4 linked regions of the Rattus norvegicus genome follow. The protein of the gene in region 3 interacts with the protein of the main gene of each other region in a biochemical or structural test. Links are inferred from orthologs where the notes say so. Each region holds a gene or a part of one and is shown on either strand. Other genes may lie near its edges.

Evidence for each region.
Region 1: the proteins of Map4k1 (region 3) and Crk form a complex in vitro, tested with the Homo sapiens proteins (2 studies listed by BioGRID). The link is inferred for Rattus norvegicus from reciprocal best matches to the Homo sapiens genes MAP4K1 and CRK.
Region 2: the proteins of Map4k1 (region 3) and Crkl form a complex in vitro, tested with the Homo sapiens proteins (2 studies listed by BioGRID). The link is inferred for Rattus norvegicus from reciprocal best matches to the Homo sapiens genes MAP4K1 and CRKL.
Region 4: the proteins of Map4k1 (region 3) and Nck1 form a complex in vitro, tested with the Homo sapiens proteins (2 studies listed by BioGRID, with this or other methods). The link is inferred for Rattus norvegicus from reciprocal best matches to the Homo sapiens genes MAP4K1 and NCK1.

What each region holds. Positions count from the first base shown.
Region 1 is NC_086028.1:61,027,711-61,031,727, reverse strand, and holds the start of Crk (adapter molecule crk), read right to left. Parts: upstream 2,812-4,017; 5' UTR 2,773-2,811; coding exon 2,532-2,772; intron 1-2,531. UniProt on the Homo sapiens protein: Involved in cell branching and adhesion mediated by BCAR1-CRK-RAPGEF1 signaling and activation of RAP1.
Region 2 is NC_086029.1:97,064,647-97,068,588, forward strand, and holds the start of Crkl (crk-like protein), read right to left. Parts: upstream 2,812-3,942; 5' UTR 2,330-2,811; coding exon 2,019-2,329; intron 1-2,018. UniProt on the Homo sapiens protein: May mediate the transduction of intracellular signals.
Region 3 is NC_086019.1:93,418,024-93,420,500, reverse strand, and holds the end of Map4k1 (mitogen-activated protein kinase kinase kinase kinase 1), read right to left. Parts: intron 2,174-2,477; coding exon 2,111-2,173; intron 2,032-2,110; coding exon 1,942-2,031; intron 1,857-1,941; coding exon 1,786-1,856; intron 1,440-1,785; coding exon 1,384-1,439; intron 688-1,383; coding exon 618-687; 3' UTR 508-617; downstream 1-507. Other genes in the region: Ryr1 (ryanodine receptor 1), read left to right, coding at 1-11, 212-307. UniProt on the Homo sapiens protein: Serine/threonine-protein kinase, which plays a role in the response to environmental stress. Appears to act upstream of the JUN N-terminal pathway.
Region 4 is NC_086026.1:109,955,437-109,959,442, reverse strand, and holds the start of Nck1 (cytoplasmic protein NCK1), read left to right. Parts: upstream 1-1,195; 5' UTR 1,196-1,312; intron 1,313-1,355; exon of another isoform or gene 1,356-2,310; intron 2,311-4,006. UniProt on the Homo sapiens protein: Adapter protein which associates with tyrosine-phosphorylated growth factor receptors, such as KDR and PDGFRB, or their cellular substrates. Maintains low levels of EIF2S1 phosphorylation by promoting its dephosphorylation by PP1.

The DNA.
Region 1 (4,017 bases), on a different chromosome or scaffold from region 3:
GGAAGTCAGGACAACTCTGAGGTGTTCCTTCTCTTATCCAACCCCGGGATTGAGGATCAAACAAGACCCTCAAGCTGGCAAAGCTGTGCTTTTGCCTACTGAGCCACTCTGCGGGATCTCAGAGCACTCAGATGGCAGAAGCAAGAATTCTCCTGAGTTCAAAGCCAGCCTAGTTTATATGGTTGCAGACCAGCTAGGGCTGCAGAGTGAAACCCTGTTTCAAAACAAAAGAATGGAGTTCCCTATGTGCACCCCAGGGATTCCAAAGCAAATAAACAAAGAATACCAAAATTATACAATAGTCAGTTCTCAGGTCACACTGTCTAGTTCAAATTCTGGTTTATATGCTAAATGTTACAGGTTACTGGATTTCTAGTTCTTCTCCCCACCTCCAAATGAAAATGTTTTAATAAATGGAGATTGCAGAATTTCACTCATTGGATTGTTTTACTGATGGTGAATTATATAAGGCACATTTAGCAAAGCATGTAGCATACAATAGTCAGTCAATAAGTGTAAACTATTAAAATTATATATGTCTCTCTAAAACTCAAGTAATTCCTGTGTGGCTTCAAAAGAAAAACAGTTTAATGGATGGCAGAACAGCGATTAAGTGACCATCATAAAGACAGCAAGTGAATTGAGTGTCCTACAGAGAAAATGGGGAACACGACAGAACAAATTGCCACAAAGCCAATGAACTTTCCACACCTAACCCACAAACTGGCAATCTTCTCCTCTCCTAGGCCAAACACCTATTTTGAAAAGGTGGAGCTACCGAGATATAAAACCACAAGCCTGCCTGATGCTAGTCCCACATTTTCAAACAAGGAGAAAACTGAGGACCGAGTCCCTCACCCCCAGCTATTGGGAATAAAACCTAGCCTCCCCAAATGTCAGGCAAATAAACTACCACTCAACTATATCCCTAGTCACACCCCCTAACATAACTTTTTATTTTGAGGCAGAATCTTGCTAAGTTTCCCAGATGACCTGGAACTTGTAAAATCTTGCCTCAGCCTCCTAGGTGCTGGGATTAAAAGCATGAATTATGAAACTTGGCTGAGAATTGAATTTCAACAATAACATTTCATCTTACTACTGCCCTTAACACAAAACAACAGATTATTTTACAGATAGCACAAAAATAGAATTTACTATGTTTAGGGCAATTGTGTTGTATCTGATTTTATATTATTAAACCAACAGACACAAAAAGACTAAGAAGACTTCAGTACTCAAATTTTCCCCTTACTTGTGTGCCAACACCAAGAACTGTTTATCCCACCTCTACCTCCTCATTTGTGGCCAAAGGGAGTAAGTCTAAATTAGGATGATCCTAAAAGGAGGTCTACTAAACGGCTAACCAGGGAGTCTCCATTCATGAGATTAGCTCAGCTCTAGGAGGAACAAGCTTGCACTTCAAACATCCAGAAAGCAAGAAGCTTGGTGCCAACACACAGAGACAACAGTAATCTCAGAATCACTGTGCATCTCACAAACTTCAAGGACGAAGTGCATGAATTTCCTTAACATTGCCAAGACAACTGCAATAATACAGCTGAGACAATTACAACTCAATGGTCCTCGATGAGGAAAACACAGCGGGATAATTATTCTTGGTGTATCTGCCAGCTAGGTCTGCTCTCATATCCTGGAAGATTTTGACCACAGCACCAACTTAGCAAGAAAAGACCCAGAAGTACGTTGACTGACACTGTTTAAGCCCAGGAAGAATGAAATTCCATTCACTTCCAAGGTTGTTCTCCCTGGCCTATGCTTGGTTTATTTCCTAAAGGAAAAAAAAAACCTTCCTCCACTAATCACTTTGAAACTAGAAACTCTACGTGCAGCGGGCAGTCTTTTGGACACTTAAAACCTCTTGGACACAATTTGCCAGCTAGGCTTCAATTACGCTGGGCTGGTCACAGAAAGCTTTTTTTCTATTACCAAGTCACTTAGTTCACCACCTTCCACAAGGGAAGAGCACGGTAAAAAGATTTTGGAAAAATGCCCAAGAAAGGAAAAAGCTGACCGGCTTCCTGAGGGTGTCTCCATCCCTCCCAGCCAGCCAAGTACGTGGTGACTTCCTACCGAAGGCCACCAGGGGAGTATGGCCAAACCCAGCTCTAACACTGCAGGAAACGTTTCAAGCCTAAAAGCCACTTGTAGGATTAGCAGATCCATTCTGGGCATCTCTGCCAAATGATGTCCCCGCAACATCCCCATTAACTCTTTGTCCCCAAGTTGCCTGGCCCTGCCCTGCCCTGCCCTTGGGCCTGACCCTGGCGCCCAGCCCCACCCCGGGGCCGCAGCAGTTCCCCTTCCCCGGCTCCCAAGGCACACCCAGAGGCCTCGGTGAGCAGCTCCTCCTCCCCCACAATCCCGCTCATCGGTGGGAACCAGCTTGGTCAGAAGGCAGCTCCCCCGCCAGGTTCACTCCAGCCCTCTCTGCCCACGTCCCTCCTGCAGCCGACCAGGGTTCTAGGGCCTTCACCCCCGCCCGGGCCTCCCGCCCGTCTGTCCCTCACCCGGCGGAGGCTGAGCGGGCGACGGAGGCACTGGAGGGCGCGGGCCGCTGCTGTTGATGATGTAGTGGGAGACGCGCGAGTTTTCGGAGACGCTGAGCACATAGTCCCCGGGGCTGGTGCTCGAGTCCCGCACCAGGAAAACCCCGTGCCGCTGGCCCTGCAATAGCGCCACCGCCTCCTGCCGGCTCAAGCGGCCCCAGTACCAGCTACTCCGCTCCTCCGAGTCGAAGTTGCCTGCCATGGCCGCCTCCGCGCCTTCACGCTGGGCCGCCGCCGGCACGCGCGCCCCTCCAGCCCTGGCGCCCGCCGCCCAGCGGACCGGCTCCGGTGTAAGCCTCCCAGCAGCGCCCGAAATGGCGGCGGCAGCCGCGGGCCTTCCCCACCGGAAATGACGCGCTCTCTACCCGAGGGAGGCTGCCGGGAAGGGGACCGCCGCCCGCCATTGGGAGAAGGGAAACGGAGTCCTTGGGGCCCGCAGTGCGCATGCGTCCTCATGGGCGTCGCCGCCCGGTCCAGAACCCCAACGGCGGAGGATGGGGAGGCGGAGTCTAGGTTTAAGGGGCGGAGCCTCAATCTTCAGACTGACTGGTGTTTGACTAACTGGTGTTTGACAGATTGGTAGAGGCGGTCTTTCTCCCAGGACCTACAGGTAGCAGCTCCAGTAAAAGGACTGGAGTAAAAAAGATGATGTGGTCCCAGGATGCCCTCAAAGCTCCCTAACAAGCTGGTCTTTCCCGGTGTTTCCTTCGGTTTCCCCGGAGGTCAGTCGAAGTTCTTGCTATCTAGGAGTAGCCATAGATAACACATTTGCCTTGCAGGTGCAGTACTGACCTAGACTGAGCCTTAAGTCACCGAATTCACAGACCAGTGGGAGGGATCAGGAAACCATTAATGTCTGCTGTGATGGGAAACAGAGACACAAGGAAATCAACTAAGTAATCCTAGAGGAATCCAAGGGCCGGGTAAAGTGACTATGACAGTAATCCCAACCCTTAGGAAACTGAGACAGGAGGATCACTGTGTTTCAGGCCCTATATTATAAAACGAAAGCAAATAAGAACAAGGAGTCCACAGATGAGATGGTGTAGGTTGAATGGTTCGGTGTTGAATGGCAAGTGGGGAAGGGTACTTAAGGCAAAGAAAACAAAATGTCCAGCCAGGCAAAGCAATGGAGTTCTCTCTATGGGAGCTCCCATGTCAACCAGCCAGATCCTTTTAAACTCTCATTTGTAGCCAGAGGAATCTCCTAGTTTCACTTCCTTCATGATCATCATCTATCTCAAAAAAAATTTTTAATGAAAAAATACTGGGGAGTGGGGTGTTCAGGATAGGGTTTCTCTGATAGCTCTTGCTCTCCTGGAACTCACTTTATAGAGCAGGCTGACCTTGAACTCAAAGATCCACCTGCCTCTGCCTCCCCAGTGCTGGGATCAAAGGTATGCACCACCTCTGCCTAGCCACTACTACTGCGTTTTGTATATAGTGA
Region 2 (3,942 bases), on a different chromosome or scaffold from region 3:
CTCAATTTCTTTACCATACAACATAAGATCAATTAGGAGAATATCAGGGGGTTGGGGATTTAGCTCAGTGGTAGAGCGCTTGCCTAGGAAGCACAAGGCCCTGGGTTCGGTCCCCAGCTCCGAAAAAAAGAACCAAAAAAAAAAAAAAAAAAGGAGAATATCAGTAATTATTACATTTAAGTTGAGATACTAAAAGAGTATCCCTCAAGGTACACTGCCATCTGTTCTAAAATTTAAAATGTACAATTTGCAGCTATACAAGGGACAGTTATATCAAATTTGGAATAATTATGACTTGGTTATTTCTTTCATTTGGAAATTAAGCAAGACAGAAAAGATAGGAATGCATGTCAAGTAGAGCTAAGGAAAAACTCAGGAAATTACATTTGGTACCTGAGAGACACATGAAGTAGAGTAAGATCTGTAAATAGCAGGAAGCCACTGCAGTATTCATTCCCCTCTTTGAGGTGACTCTAATAACTTAGACTTTCTCCAATACCTGTCACATGCTGCAAGCATGTTTTAATAAAGGCCCGAAGTCAATAATATAATCCACTTCCACAAATAAGAGAGTAATTTACTTAGCTGTATCACCCAACATTATCCTTCCTAGGTTTCTCCAAGCTCTTACACCTTCCAGCATCGCCTAGGAACTTCATGTTTCACAGAACTTGAGTGTCCTCCTCTTGCTAGCATTACTCTTTACAATCACCTTTCTGTGTTCACATTTTTAAAACGTACTTGTGTGAGGATACTCGCTTGCCATGATGCGCATACCGGGCTAAGGGACAGCTCTGTGACTCAGCTCTCTCCTTCCACGCTTGCGTGGGTCTGGGGACCACACTTTCCCTCCTCATCACCACTTAGCCCTTCTCCACACTCTAAAATCCAGAGTTTGGCCGTTAACCGTACATACATTCACTGTACCATCCCAGCTTATTCTTCTATCCTCAAGAAGAAACTCTGGATTTAAGTAGGTGCCTTTAATTAATTATACTATCTTTTCAATTTCAAAGTCCTGAGCAAATTTCACCTCTATGAAGTCACCTCACCTTAAATCTAAATCAGTCCTCAATTCTTTCTTAGAATAGCTTAGAAATAAACGGGGCAGTAAAATATCTTTTAAAGTGTCTAGATATGTTTTCAATTAACACTTGTATCATTTGATGATATTATTAGGAAAATTAAAGCAAATTATAAAATAATGCATTTTAATTGAAAAAGAGAACACTTGGGGATCAGTGTCTTTTTCTTTAAGGCAGGGTCTTGCTACAGCTCAGTTTGGCTTGGAATCAAGGTCCTCTTTCCTTAGAGGATTAGGGGCGTGTATCTCTCCCGTCTAGCGCTACTTGGGTGTCTTTAAAGTATATGTTAAACAACTAGACTTAATTACAAAAAAACCCCAAAAAAACAGAATTAATGTAGAATGAAGGTAAATACACTTTGCACCCTGCGGAAGGAACAGTGATGATACAAATTCCCTCAAATAAAACCTCAATCTCTTTCCTTGGTAATTCCAGTTTTTTGGTTTTTTGTTTTTTTAAGTGCTACAGCATCAGATTCTGAGATTTCTACCCTTTCGATCTATTTTAAGGATTATTCCAAAGGCTGAAGGCCAGTTAGCTGACAGATGCAGGAGCTACAAAAACCTTAAATGGTGTACATGAATTTCGAGAAAGTAGTAGTCATGGCTATCTTCAGAAACTCAAGATAGTCTATATATTTTAACGTCGTTAATAAGAATTTTGCACTAGTATTACAGTCAACTAAAGTGACAAAACTATGTATGTGTGGGCTTGGGGGTGGTGGTGATTTAAACAATGCAAGCACTACTAAATGTCTAAATAAAATGCATCCTTTCATCCAACCCAGATCCTGACATTGGCCTTCCAATCCGAATGTCTTCTGGTTCAGAATGAGAAAAGGGAGTATCCCTTACCCCCACCCCCAAATTTCAATCTTTGACCGACCCTCCGCAGGTCAGGTTCCGAGCCCGAAAAGGGCAGGAGCTCGCCTACCTGGGCGCTGGTTCGATTAAGGTGGTAGTATCCAGGTAGTGGATCTTGTAGAACTCCAGCAAGGCCGGCAAATGGTCAAACTCCTGGTCCCCGATCTTAAAGCGGCGGTTGGGCAGGGAGTTGATGATGTAGTGCGAGACACGCGAGTTCTCGGACACGGACAGTACATAGTCCCCAGGGCAGGTAGATGAGTCCCGGACTAGGAACATGCCATGGCGCTGGCCCTGGAGACGGGTCTGCGCCTCCTGGCGAGACACTGGCCCCATGTACCAGGCAGAACGGTCTGAAGAATCAAACCTGGCGGAGGACATGGTGTTGGGCCCGGGGATGGGCGGCGTCTGCTGCTCTCGCTTGCTCTGGAAGCCTTTACCCGCTGTCGGCTTTGGGGTCGAGGAAGGGCCTCTTCTCGAACACTTCGAGGAACAATCAGAGGGCTTGGTCAGGACGTTCCTCTAGGCTCCGGGCCCCGCAGCATCCTCCGCCACCGCCCTCCTGCACAGGGCCGCCTCTCGGAGAGAGCCGGTCCGGGAACAGTGGGCAAAACCCCTGGGTCGAGGTGGGCGAAACAGAGCAGTAGCAGAGGCCGCCTCGGGCTTCTCAGCTGTCCGGAGTAGGATCCAGCGACTTCTGTCCTGGAAGCCGCCGGCTCCGCAGCCTCAAGAGCCCGCACGGTTCCTCGCCGTCACACGAAGCACCGCACTCCAACAACAGTCGCGCCTCCCGGACCGTCCTACCCTACCCGTTCCCAATAGCCACAGCAACAAAATGGCGGACGCGGGAGAAGCGACCGGGCACCTCCCCCTTGGTCCAGCGTACTCTATCTGCGCTTGCGCGGAGCTGGGCGCTACCCCCACCGCAGGGGCTCTTCCTTTGACGTCACTGGGCGCGGCCAATCAGGAGTGCGTTCGCGAGGGTTCCAGCCTAAGCCACTCGTGCGGGCTCCCGCGTTCCGGGAGGAGGCAGAGGGTCAAGCCCTTCCTGGATCGCAAAGCAGCCTCTGAGTGGCTGCTGCTGTAAGGCCTACCGGGCTTAGCAGGAAAACAACTGGACCCGAGAGGGAACAGCGTTTTGAAAACCTGTTTCTGGGAACAAAGCATAGCGTGATGGCTGGATGTCTGGACAGGGAGGCGTGGCCCTCAGGTGATTTTTAAGCCTGAAGGCCCTGATAAGTCAGGTGGCTTAGGAAGGGCATGACCTAGGCAGTGAGTTGACCATCAAATAGGTTACTGAATAACGCCTACCCTAAGTGATCCTACTTGGTACACGTGGAATGATGGTGAAGGTCAGTTTGACTAATGCTTTAAGACGAGGACAGTGTGATGATGGTGACTTGGCCACTTCAGGCTCTGAGATGTAGCAAGAGAAATGCAACACTTGTATCTGGCTTGCAGGTTTTGCCTGCTCCAGACCTTTGGTCTCTCTCCAAAAGTTCATTTCCTGCCATTCAGCCGTTCCAGCTGTGCCTTCCCAACATGTTTTCTCTCTCCAACAACACTAGGACCGATCTCTCTATCTATCTATCTTTCTTTCTTTCTTTCTTTCTTTCTTTCTTTCTTTATTTATTTATTTATTTATTTATCTATCAACCAATCAAGATAGGAATTCTCTGTGTGCCCCTGGCTATCCAGGAACTAACTATAAACCAGGCTGGCTTCAAATTCACATCTACTGGGCTCTGCCTTCCCTGTGCTTGAATTAAAGATGTGAGCCACCACTAACAGGACAGGATGAAATTTTATTACAACAGGAATACTGTCTTATTTTGCCCGCCTTAAAACCACATCTAGTCTTGAATGATCAGAAAATTGTTAAACGAATGACCATTGTGAAAAATCTACAAAAAACTGATGCTGGATTATTGGTCACAGCATTCCCAAATTAGATGAACAGGAAGGCATGTCCCAGACCAGTGATGGTGGCACTA
Region 3 (2,477 bases):
ACACCGGTCAGGTAAGAGGTGCTAATGAGGGACCAGTAGGGGACATGGCTCAAGCTATTCCGGCAGGCTGTTCTCTAGTTACCCTCATGTACCCAGCAAACTAGTCTTCAGAGAGGACACTAGTCTTCAGAGAGGACGATCAGCAGGCAGCAGAGAATCCTTTGAGGCATGTGAAGATGTGACCAAGAGCCCCTTATCCTCTCAACCCTAGGAGTCATATGTCTGGAAGATGTACCAGGAGAGGTGCTGGGACTTCTTCCCTGCTGGAGACTGTTTCCGAAAGCAGTATGAGGACCAGCTTGGCTGAGGTCTGCAGCTGGCCCTCCCCCACCTCAAGTGCCTTCTCCCACTGCAAGCTCCTCCCCAGGCAGCTGGGGACAGGTGATCCTGAACTAGACCAATAAAGCCTCTGCTACACCCCCAGCCTCATTGTGTGGGGTCATTTAAATCTGGGGGGGGCGGGTGGGAGGGGGGCTAGGCATCCAGAAATCTCTCCCCCAAGAATTTCAAGATGACAAGACTAAAGTCAAGTTTATTGGGAGATAAGGACATGTTGTGACCACTAGTGTGTCCCTTAGGGTCTGCAGGTGTCCGTTTCTCAATGCCCTCTCAATGGTTCATTCCTGGATGTAGAGGTTGCTGGGGGCGGTAGGGTCATCCGTGGGCCGTGTTTCCACCACTACAGGCCTGAAGAAGACGAAGGTCAAGTCATTCACTCGTTCATTCTCAGAGTAGTTAACAGAAACTGCCCCATCCCAATGCGGGCTCTGACAATGACTTGGTGACATATGCCTACAATCCCAACAACTGGGAGGCTGAAGCAGGCAGATCTGGAGGCCAGGGTCATCCTCAGCTACATAGGGAATCTGAGGTTAGCCTGAGCTATAAAACCCTGTCTCAGAAAAGAAAAGAAAAAAAAAAAAGAGGGCTGGCAAGGTGGCTCAACAGGCAAAGGTGATTGTCACCAAATATAATGACCTAAGTTCAATCTCTGTGACCCACATGGTAGAAAGAGAGCGTCCCCTCCTAAAGGTGTCCTCTGATCTCCAGGTGCCCTCCGTGCCACATGCCCCCCAAACCCCAATGTGGAAAAAGAGAAGAGGGGATTGGAGACCAACCAGGGCTACATAGGCTATCTCATAGCAACAGCAGTGGGGAGCCTTGGGGAGTTCACACCCCACCTGAATGGTAAACTAAAGGCGTGCAGGGAAGCAGAGTGCAGGGGCTTCTTCTGAGGGCAGCCAAGGCTCCCGAGAGTCACCGTGGAGCCGGAGCCTCGGGAGGGAACCCAGTGAGAGAACATGGAAGGGTTTTCTAGGCCACGGAAACCTCACTCCGCACCGCCAGCCTCTCTATTCCCCATTCATCCCTCCACCGCCATACCTCGGGGAGCAGAGCAGACGGAAGGTGAGGGTGGGATCTCTCAGCTCCTGCAGCGGCTGTGGAGAAAGTGTGTTTGTGTCCATACTGAGAAGTAGGACCTCCCCTCTCCCTACAAACATGACTTCCTCGGGGTAAGTCTAACTCCAGAAGCTGGGTGACTTTGAGCATGTGGCTTAAACGGCGCCCTATCTGATAGGCAACTGTACTGTAAAGAGTAAGTCAGGAACCAGGGAAGCCCGTAGAGTGCTCTGTGAGGTGAGCCAGTTTCCACTTAGGTGACAATGTGTGCCTTGAGACATCCCAACAGGAGTCTCTGTTCTGACACAGGGCTTCTCCAAGCCCATTCAAAGGATGAGAAGGTTGAGGTTGAGGACAAGGGAGTGGTGTGAACTGAGAGCCTACCTGTTCCGAGTCTGGAGCCCACACCTGAACTCCGTGCTTCCAGAAGGCCTGGAGTCGATCTCCAACCATTGCTAAAGAGGAAGCAGTTGCCTGTGACCCTGACTGAGGTCACAGAGCGCCCACCCTTGACCCTGGGCCCTCCCATCCAACACATACCCACAGCCTCGACCGCTTCTGTCATGGGGATCTCAGGGGTGCGAAGCCCGGGAGCTGGTGCCCCCTCCGGGGTCACTAGCTTCAGAGAGCCTGGAAGGAAGTGGAAGGAAGGTTTTGTGCACAAAGACCTGGGTTGAGGACCAGGAAGGGAAGAGAGGAAGGCTCTTACCATCCATCAACACCATCACCATGTCTTCCTTTACTTGGATCACCTGCACTGGTCCCTTGTGCTCTGTGAGAGAAGCAGGGGCTTAAGAACTAACTGTCTGGCTCTGTTCACTTAGCACCCCTCAGGTCCCCTGCCTGGCACATACGCTCCACCCAGTTATGACCGGTCAAGGAAGACCACACATCCTACCCAGCCACTCTGCCCTTCCCCTTCCCTGGTGCCTTAACCTGTAGCCCCACCTTGTCTTGCAGCCCCTTCTCACGAGCGTTTCCTTTTCTGAAGCCACGCCCCTTTCCTGAAGCCCCGCCCACTCCTGCAGCCCTGCCCCTTCCCTGCAGCCGGAACCCCCTCCCTGCGGCCCCGCTTT
Region 4 (4,006 bases), on a different chromosome or scaffold from region 3:
TAACATGCAACTAGGTTAAAGGCAGAGAAGTAACTTTTTAGGACTTACCGGTAGGACCTGTATTACAGCGGAAGGAAGGGGTGGAGAGGTGGTTCAGTGACTAAGAGCGCCAGTTTTCCAAGGGACCCCAGTTTCATTCCCAGCACCCACAGGGTAGTTCAAAACCATCTGTAACTTTTTTTCTGCGGATCCTATATCCTCTTTTGGCCTCCAGGGGTAGCAGGCACGCACATGATACACAAGTACACATGTACACCAAACACTCGAACACACAAAAAATAAAAATGAATAAAAGGGGAAAGGAAGATGTATTAATTCCTCGATTATTGACGATGATGTTGTGCTAGGCATGGAGTGAGGGTGGGTGGGTGCTGACACAGTTCCTCTTGTAATAGACTTTGCAATCTAGGTATATGGGTGCAGCTACGCCGGAGGCAAAACCCGTGTTTCAATAAAGTTACCTAACCTAGAGTGCTGCTTTTAGGTGCCACAGCTATACTAAGTAGCAAGGGTGTTCGGAAATAGTGAGGCAGGTTATTGGTGGCTGTAGGGCTAATTGGGAAGGAGAATCGATTTCTTAATGGCTTAGCGGGTGGCTGGGGCTGTGCCACTGCCACGCTCAACCCAAGGGCAAAGGTAACAGTGCTTTTCACAGAACTGGAAGCGGAGAGTGAAGGCTACCCACGCGCCAGGGCACTCGGAAGTTCCTCACACAGCTTATTTTGGTTGTGGTTTTAGTTAACAAACATTTTACATTTTCTCCGAGGCTTGATTTTTCTTTGTCGCTCTCTGTCCCTAAGATCTGTAGGTGGTCGGCCCTTTCAGAAGCAGGAACCAGAGTAGTTTGGGTTGAACTCGGGACCACTGTTCGACATTAATGAGCGATTATAATGACAGGTTTTAGTAGGGCTTGGAGAGGCGGAGAGTAACCAGCTACCGAGGAAGCTGGGGGAGAAAAAGGCAGTGGGGCCCAGCGAACCTCAACTTCTCCTGTCCAAACGCTGCGCAGCCTCAGCTCACTGAACAGTGAGCGCCGCGCTTGAGTGACAAGCCCGTTCGCCCAATCAGGGAGCGGCTCATTCCTCTGACGAATCAGGGGCGGGCGCCGGAGGCGAAGGAGCCTATTAGGTTAGGTGTGGAGCGGGTTTCCTGCCCGCAACGGTCCGCCCACCGGTTGCGCGCGCCCCGCCCCTCTCTGAGAGCTACGCGGCGGCGCAGCACAGGCCTCGTGCGGTAACGGCATCCGGCCAGCCGCGGTGGCGTCCCGGTGCAGTCCTCAGGTGACTGGAGCCGCGGGCTCGGCGGAGGGAAGGTGAGATGGCCTTGCCCGCGTGCGGACACACGCACCGTCCTTTCGGTCTCCTAGTCTGTCCGCGCTGCCTGCTAGTCTCTGGTCGCTTCCTCTTCCCCGGCGAAGTTAGCCCGGGGGCGCCGTCTGCTGGCGGCGGAGCGGAGCGGAGGGGGCGGGGAGGCCGCTCGGCGGAGCTCCGGTGTCCGCGGTGCCGCCCGGTGACCCCGCGCGGCCTCTGGCCTGAGCTACGAGCCCTGCTCGGGGAGCCGAGCAGGCAAGTGTGCGGCGCGCTGTCTCGGCGGTTCTCAGAAAGCCCTGTCGCGGTCTGTGGTGTGTCCGAGGCCGGGACGGTAGGGACGCGGGCTGGCAGGCAGGAAGGGCGCTCTCACCTCCAGCCGCCAACCGGAGGAAGCCGTGAGGGGGGACATCCTCGGGCGCGCCCTCCCCTCCCCCTCCCGTTCCAGAGCAGGAGAGATGGGGTTGTCTGGGGTGGCTGTTGAGGTGGGGTAGGTCCAGGAAAAACAGCCCATTGGGTTGGTTTTCGTACGGGTTTCCGCACTAGTTCGGTTCAGTCTGTTAACAGCTGGGTTGGAAGGAAGCTGGTTTTTTGTTCAGGGTTGAGGACCGTAACATCATCTTAACATTATCGCTTGGTTAATGTCGAGCGGAGCTGAAATCACCCAAAGACAATACTGCCCTTTAGTTAGGTAAGAATCCATAGGAGTTAGGAAAGAACGAGATGAAGAAAACTTCCTGACCCCCATCTTGGGTGGGGAGCAGTGAGATCAGTGTTCAGCCCAAAACGGGTAAAGTTTTGCAAGAAGTGTTCATTTTCAAAAGAGTTACTTTGATAGCTTGATGATCAATCAGCCTTAACGATTTCTTAAGCACCCTGGAAATCAGTTGCAAGCTTTCAGCCTTTAGCGACGTCACCACATGAACAGAGAGTCCAAGAAGACAGTTTGGTTTGATAATTTTCAGTCTTGTTTTTAAGTAGACCTTCTCTCCGCATCGTGATAGTAAGTCAAAGCATATGCATTGGCTGATTAGTACTTTTTTCATCATGCTCACATTGGATGTTTTCTCTGGGAAGAGCTTCTGTAGGAATTGGCTAGAATAACTTAAGCATGCATTGTGTTGATGTCTCAGCTGTATGTATGAACATTAACTTTGAAAAGACTTGCCTCCCTGTCAAGCATTTTTTGTTTTGGTTTTCCAAGCCTTACAGATCCTATGTAAACAAGTTGGCATATCAATGTATTGCTTTTATTAAACACTGAGTGATAGTTTATGCTGCTGACTTTCATAATTTGAGAACTTAGTTTTAGAGTTCAAGGCTTGATGTGATTATTGTTGTAAATAAATTCCTTTTCAGGAAAACTTGGAAAAAAAAAATGAATTCACCTTGGTAGTATTTGGAAGAATGCATGGTTTCAATGCCAGAAAACCAATGATTATTTCACTGTTAAGTAAAATTGAAGGAAACTTAAAATTAGAAATTACTGAACATTTAACAAATCCAACAGTTTGAAGAAAGTTTGACAGGCCCGGATGATTCTCACTTTAATCTGTCTGAGAAATAAAACTTAAAAGTCTTCCCTGGGGCTGCAGAGATGGCTCAGTGGTTAAGAGCACTGACTCCTCTTCCAAAGGTCCTGCGTTCAACTCCCAGCAACCACATGGTGGCTCACAACCATCTGTAATGGGATCCGATGCCCTCTTCTGGTGTGTCTGAAGATAGCAACAGTGTACTTATGTACATAAAATAAATAAATCTTTAAAAAGTCTTCTCTGCAAAACTGATGCATGCGCTGTCTTTCTTTGGTGATACATTCTGTAACATGCTTTCAGTAACCCAGACATAAACCTTTAACAGTGTCCTATTTTTTTGTAGTCGTTTTCTTTAAAAAAAAAAAAACAAAAAACAAAAAAACCTTCCCTTCCTATTCTTATATATTGTTTAAATTTCCGCTTCTGAACTGCTCACTTGCCCTAGCTGGGTTTTCTGCCTGGGTGTTCACAAATGTGTTCTGCCTGTGCTGATCTTAAAATACGACTTTGAACATATTTTTACTGTTTAGACACTAGTAATATCTTTCGTCTAGATTTCAGTCTTTTAAGAGTTTATTTTTATTTTATGCGTTTGAGTGTTTTGCCTACATAGAAGCGCACAGCATGTGGTGTGGGTTCTGGGAACAGAACGGAGATCCTCTGCTAGAGCTCTTAACCACTGAACCATCTGTCCTAGCACAGGAAGAAAGTTGTCTGCAGATTACTAAAGTAGCAAAGTAAAAGTCTCCCTTCCATAATCTCCTTCCTCCCTTCCTCACCCCTCTCTTCTCTTTCCCCTTCCTGACTCTTTCCTTCCCTCAGTTTTGGGGTCAGATCCATGGCTTCTCATAAACCACTGAGTTATATCATCAGTCTAAAGTTCTATTTTTTAAAAAAGATTATTACATTTTTGTTTGTGTGTGTGTGTGTATGTGGGGGGTGGGTGGACAGGCAATGTGCTTATGGCAGAGTCAGAGGACAGCTTGAGGGAGTCAGTTGTCTGTCCACCACATAGGTCCCTTGACTTGAACTCAGGTTTGTAGGCTTGGCAGCAGGTACCTTTACCTGCAGAGGCATCCGACACCCAACCAGAGTTATAGTTTTTACAAATAGTTAAACATTTTAAAAAGTGTGTGTGTGTGTGTGTGTGTGTGTGTGTATGTA